2 linked regions of the Danio rerio genome follow. Each later gene encodes a partner of the first gene's protein in a complex. Links are inferred from orthologs where the notes say so. Each region holds a gene or a part of one and is shown in the gene's direction. Other genes may lie near its edges.

Region 1 (2,537 bases):
AAATCAACCACACACCCCCGAACTTCTTATTTGACCGCCTGTATCTACACTGCAGAGGCTTGCTAAAACAAATATAAGCACTTACATTTAAAAACATGTAATAATTTAAGATTTATTTAAAAACTGTGTGATTTAAGCAGTTTTTTTTATAATTTAATAAATAGAATATATGTTGGACTGCAAAATAATTGATCTTTCATACACTCTAGCCTAAGTTAGACTCAGCTATGAGGACAATAAATATTTCTCTTATAATGAGTTGTTGGTATTTATTATCTTCATAGGCATAAAAATAATATAAAAACAACTCTACATTATTAGAAAGGTTTTTATTTTTATTCAGCAATAAACAGGACTGAAAATATTCACAACACGGACAGCTATTGGCCATGTGGGAAAAATTGTGTGTGGTTATATTAGCAAAAGATAAAAACAGTAAGATTTCTAAATATTAACAGGATATTTACACATCCTATGCCTGCATTATATAAAATAGTTTTATCAATTTGTACAATAAACTTAGCAGTTTTAAGACATCGACTGATGCCTATTAGCTGCTGCAACATCGACGGTTATATTGTTTATCTGTTTTTTCTGCGCCTTCATTTTCATTTGGTTTATTTGATGCCTTCATTATATCTGGCAAAGAGGATTCATTTTAATGTTTATTAGGAGGTTTCAAAGAAAAAGCCAACAATAAATGATGCATATAAATAATATATAAAATTTACATCTCAATTTGTTTAATAAGATTCTGTTTCTAGAACATTAATATTTAAAAACAGCAAATTCAGTAGATTAACTCAATAACATGCTGAAACTCAAAATGTCAGAGAACATTAATATCATACATTTCTATCATATAAAACATCCAAAAGAAATCACAAATCAACCTATTATCTATTCAAGAGAATAATACAATAATACAATACTTTATTGTCAGACTTGCATCTGAATTTGTTCTTGCATAACAGCATGATAAATGCTTCTTACAAAAAGACAAAGACATACAAAAATAATAATAATTAATTTTACATGGGCCTTATTCAGCTCCAAGATAGCCTGATATACAAATAATTTTTTTAATTTCACCTCATTAAAACGTGGGACTCTAAATTGACGGTTAGATTTTAATGGTATAAATTCTTGGTTCAACACATGACTATAGGGCTTGAAATGATGTTCCTTGCCAGCCTTTGAGGTTCATGTAATACGAACAGTCATATAATTTACCCTACTTTACTCAGGGGGACCAAAACAATCCCAAATCTTCTTCTAATAATAGATGGGACAGTCAGTTCTTCACTTCATCCTGATGTGTTTGTTGTTCCTACTTATTATAGCAAGCATGATTAACCTGTCCTCACTTCTGCTTAATAATTAACCGCTGTTGTTTCATATTTGATCCGCAGGCACGACAGAGTGTGCTCTGCAGTTTCCAGACCCGTATGTCTACTGGGACACATTGATGAAGATCTGCGTCTTCATCTTTGGCTTCGTGGCTCCTCTTCTCATCATCACCGTTTGCTACACTCTCATGGTTCTGCGCCTCAAGAGCGTTCGCCTGCTTTCAGGTTCACGTGAAAAAGATCGCAACTTGAGACGCATCACTCGATTGGTTCTGGTTGTGGTGGCAGTGTTCGTTGTGTGCTGGACCCCCATTCACATCTTCATCCTGGTCAAAGCTCTTTCGCACGGTGTGCCGGAGACCACATCGGTCATGGCTGCCTACTTTTTCTGTGTGGCGTTGGGGTACACCAACAGCAGCCTGAACCCCATTCTGTACGCCTTCCTTGATGAGAACTTCAAGCGCTGCTTTAGGGACTTCTGCTGCCCAGGTCGGACTGCAGGCGACGGGCGTGGGGTTAGTCGGGTCAGAAGCACTCTCCGAGAGCACACGTGCCCAGCAGAGGCCAAAAATGATGGAGGCCAGGGTCGACCCGTATGACTAGCCGTGGAGCTGTCATCTTTTCATGGTCGAGAGGACTCCAATGACTTGGGACTGACACAGATCACAACCGCCATCTGAGGAAGGGATTGTGGCGTTTAGGTTCAGGCGAGGGCGCTTAGGAATCTGTGATTGAGCAAAAAGGCTTTGTTCATTCAGTATGTCCATATAAATATTTACGGCATCACCTCATTTAGAGTTTACTTTCTCATCCCCGTTGACCAAAGATGGAATGTCATGCTCAAACAGGCTTTTGCATAATGTTACTAGTCCTTTAGGGTATATATGTAAGATTTTCCTTACCTGCGTCGATGCAATGCTTCTTTTGGTGTTGAAAGGATTTGGAGAGAGTAATGAGTATATAAAAATGGCACTGTTTATTCGTTTGGTCTTGGTGGAATAGATCTGCTATGCTGCTGCTGCTTTGATTACCAAGACTCTATATATTCACAGACACTCTGTCTAAGAATATATCACACTCCTGCTGCAAGCACAACATACATTAATTCCCCAATAGCAGATCTATACACAAATGGAACTGAGGTGGAGGAGGGCTCCTAAAAACATGCTGCAGATTGCTAATGCAAAT
Region 2 (4,211 bases), on another chromosome or scaffold:
AATAACACACAGACTGGTGGAGTTTCCTGCTCTTCGTCGAGATTAATGCCGTTTTTCTGAGGGGATTCACCTATTAAACTGGGTTTTTATATTGATTCATGCGAACAGATGAGAAACAAAATATATACAATTGATTAGCCACCCATTTAGCTCACAACATAGCCATCTTTAAAGGTATATATGGCGCTGGGCCATCGTATTACACTGGTAGCCTATAGTTTTGGCAAAATACATTGTATAACCTAAGTCAAATTTAGATTTTTTTTTCTAGAATATACAGTTTTATATGGAATATTAGGCATTTGTTCCATTAATATGTCAATTTAATACTATAAATACATCAAAATAAATGGTTTTTATTAGCATAGCAATGTGCATATAGCTAAGAAAATCATGTAGACGGCATTTGAATGTGATTTTCTCAGATTCTGGGTTTTTAAATAGTTGTATCTCAGCCAAACATTGTCCAAACAAACCATACATCAATAAAATATTGTTTATTATAATTAATCTTAATCATGCTTGTTTCAAAATAGTCAGTGCTACTGGTACTTTGTATGTAGGTTTCTCATTTAAATGCATTACATCAAAACATAATTGTTTGGCATTAATTAACATTGTTTTTATAAAAACTGCATATCATAAGCCCATTATAATTTATTAAAAGATGTTTTAAGAACATTGTGATGATTGTGCGAGTAGTAATTCATGACTCAATGGAAATGAGTGATATTTTAACCATATTTGCAATGCACTGCAGTATCTTGCTAGGCTACAGCTTTCCTTGAAACGTCCAATACACTGAATTGTGGAGTTCCAGAAACAGGACGATATGCATGATAAACGGAATGCTACCCAATGCCAGCCGGTACAACATCCGGATTGTTAGAGGTTAAAGCAGGAAAAAGGCTATATTTTCATGGAACTGATATATAACCCATGCTTTGGTCTGGATATTGAGTATTTGAATCAAACTGTGATTTATGTCATTGAAATTTCAATCAAGGACTTGCTAAGTGAAAATGGAAGTCTTTGAAAAGAGGAGCACTCAGGCTTGAGTTAATGATGCTTCTTAATAATACAAGTTACCAACATACTCCTCGTCAAAGTGGGTATTTTTAATTTAATTTCATATATTTATTTAAAAGAATATAGGCTAATTTATGCAATTGAAGTGTAATTTAAACTACTTGAACACAAACCATTTATAACCACTATGCACTTCTCAAATATTTTTAAATCTGTATTATTTATATTAGAATAACGTCAATATTTTACCCTCATTACGTGGGTGGGATCAGTCAATCAAATGGCTCGTTGTTTCCATTGGTCAGACCATCGTTCATTCAGACAGCTGTGTGGGCTGCGTGAATAAAAGTATGAAGGCTGGGTTGAGTCCAAATAAGAGCAAACCGTGGATGGATAACGAGTGACTCCAGCAAAAGACAGGAGAACAAAGAAGTTTCCCCAAGTGATCGCCTTGACGCTTGGAGAACGAGATAAGCTCTGTAGGTAATCAAGGTAACTGAGCAGATTTTGTGTTGAACTGTGTGTAAATAATATATTTGTAAGATGACAAGTCAACAACATTGATGAATGGTTGGAAATAAAAATAAAAAAAACTCTAAAAGCATCCTAACAGCTGAGAGGATAAAGTGGATCCTGAGTGGAATATTGTTTATTTAAATCCTCTTTTCTTTTGTTCTCTCGCACCACAGGAATCACTGTCGATGATGGAGTGGTATGTGTTGGTGTTGATGCTGAGCTTTCCAACCTTGAGCCAGGCAGATTGTTCAGCGCAATGCCTGAGATGCGCGCAACAGATCTCCGATTTGGACTCTGCGGTGAACCGCTTGGTAAGATTATTATCCCTATATTTTGAGTTTTACGTGCGCTTAATTTAGGGTTAACACAAGACTAAAAAGCCAAAATTGGCTGACAAATTAAACTTATTGGATCTGTATATGTTCTATGCTAATCAAAGGTGTAAACATTGAAAACATAATCTTAAAAAAGCTTTATGTATTTTATTAAACTATTGAAAAATTACTTATAAACTAAATCAACTCTATATTAAGCAATTATTTAATTAATAGAAAGATCTGTGTATTAAGACCATTTGGTTTCCAATAAAACTGTGCGCTTTTCATTTGAGGCGCGCGCATTCAGCACCATGGAGAGCGCGGCTATTACGCGCTCCTTTAGATCAAAAAGCTTGGAGAAACCAGTTGGGGAAATATCAGATATGGCTTTTGGTAATATGATTAATATATATTAAAAAGAATAGGTTGCACTTTCAGATGTGATTTTTTTTCTATTGTAAATAATAAAATGTTAGGCGTCACGATGGCGCAGAGGGTAGCACATTTGCCTCACAGCAAGAAGGTGGCTGGTTTGAGCCTCGGCTGGGTCGGTTGGCATTTATGTGTGGATGTTCTTCCCGTGTTCGCGTGGGTTTCCTCCGGGTGCTTCAGTTTCCCCAACAGTCAAAAGACATGCGATATAGGTGAACTGGGTAAGCTAAATTCTCCGTATGTAGGCTATGTAGGTGAATGATTGTGTATGGATGTTTCCCAGTGATGGGTTGCAGCTGGAAAGGCATCAGCTGTGTAAAACATATGCTGGATAAGTTGGCGGTTCATTCCGCTGTAGCGACCCCTGATTAATAAAGGGACTAAGCCGGAAAGAAAATGAAATGAAATAAAATGTTCTGAACTTGAAATGTGATATTGAATCTATTTATTAGCAAACTAATGCAGTTCCTAATAAAAAAAAACTCTAATGTGTTGGTATTTTTACATAAAAAACTTTAATGTTTAATTATGCTCTACAATTTGTGTACTTCATCCTTGAACTGTTTTGGGTTCATTTTTGTCGGTATTTGACTGTGAATTAATTTTGGCGGCAACTCTGAAAGTGTCGAGCCCAGTTAAACCTCCTTTTCTTCTTCCAGACTTGTACTTTAGAGTGTGAAGGAGCCGTTCCGCCTACCGGTACACTTGACAGATGTGAGAAGGCTTTACAGGGGCTTTCAGATGATTTAGCGGAGCTCAATACAGGCGCAGACGGAGAAACAAACGCGTTAAACACAGATGAGGACCTCCAAGAGAAGACCTCCAACCTGGTAAAACGATACGGGGGATTCATCAAGAGGATCGACAAGAATAAAAATAAGTTTTTCTCTTCACCCTGGAAAGAGAACGCCATACTGAAAGGACTGTTCGCGAAGAAATACGGAGAATCTCTGTCGAAACTGGGCGAGCGAGACCTACCGTCGATAACGGAAGACGACGAGGGCGAAGATATGGGGGCGGAAAACGAAACGGGAGTTTACGATAATGAAGTTCCATTAAACGAAGTCAAACGTTACGGCGGGTTTCTTCGCAAATTCGGTCCAAAACGAAGCTACTTCGTGGATGACACCAACCCACAGGTGTTACAGAAGAGATATGGTGGTTTTATGAGAAGAATTCGTCCTAAGTTGAGGTGGGACAACCAAAAGCGATATGGCGGGTTTTTACGACGCCATTTCAAAATCTCCGTGCGCTCTGACGAAGAGCCCTCATCGTACGAGGACTATGCTTTATAGGCTGTTGTATCATTGATAACTCAACTAGAACTCATTTTTGCCAGTGTATTCCAGTTGTTTCCACCTTGATCTTACGCGTGTTGAGGCTGTTTTACTATCCCCAAATGGCTGCTGACTTCTGAACGCCGTCAATCACCTGTCGACCTGTAAATCATGTGCTCTGCAACACAATATATCATGGCAATTCGTAACTGCTTTTTAGGTTTTGGTGAATTAGTGGATATATTTGTATGACCAGCTCGCTCTTTTTTTGTAGATATTTTCCTATGAATTAGCCACTAAGTCATCAAAACCTAAAATAGCACCCGTTGACTTTTCCCCATATGTAAGCAATCAATACATACTGCAGAAAATGCTTGTTTAAGATGACCAATAAAGGGCAAAAAAGTTTACCTGCTAAAATTGTTTGGGGAATGTTTTGTGTGAAGTTTTTCTAACTAATCTAAAAATAAAGGTAATTAATAACTTTGTTTTTCCGCTTAATGCCACATTCAAAGCTGCATTGTTATGTTATTTGCAACATTAACGATTTAGGACAGATATAATCCTCCTTTTTATACTCAAAAATGATAAACCTTGTCAGGAACTGTCCATCTGAAAGTTCTCACGAGAGTGTTTAAGT

The links. Proteins that work in one complex are often made in the same cells at the same time.
Region 2: the proteins of oprk1 (region 1) and pdyn are in contact, whole or in part, in a cryo-EM structure (PDB 8F7W), measured with the Homo sapiens proteins. The link is inferred for Danio rerio from reciprocal best matches to the Homo sapiens genes OPRK1 and PDYN. Residues at the interface, in NP_000903.2 of Homo sapiens: Thr111, Gln115, Trp124, Val134, Ile135, Asp138, Tyr139, Met142, Lys200, Glu209, Cys210, Asp216, Tyr219, Lys227, Val230, Phe293, Ile294, Glu297, His304, Ala308, Leu309, Tyr312, Tyr313, Ile316, Tyr320; in NP_001177821.1 of Homo sapiens: Tyr207, Gly208, Gly209, Phe210, Leu211, Arg212, Arg213, Ile214.

What each region holds. Positions count from the first base shown.
Region 1 is NC_133177.1:33,844,802-33,847,338, forward strand, and holds the end of oprk1 (kappa-type opioid receptor), read left to right. Parts: intron 1-1,412; coding exon 1,413-1,948; coding exon of another isoform or gene 1,949-2,029; 3' UTR 2,030-2,037; downstream 2,038-2,537. UniProt on the Homo sapiens protein: G-protein coupled opioid receptor that functions as a receptor for endogenous alpha-neoendorphins and dynorphins, but has low affinity for beta-endorphins.
Region 2 is NC_133198.1:45,171,412-45,175,622, forward strand, and holds pdyn (proenkephalin-B precursor), read left to right. Parts: upstream 1-1,411; 5' UTR 1,412-1,521; intron 1,522-1,718; 5' UTR 1,719-1,730; coding exon of another isoform or gene 1,731-1,733; coding exon 1,734-1,856; intron 1,857-2,953; coding exon 2,954-3,589; 3' UTR 3,590-3,986; downstream 3,987-4,211.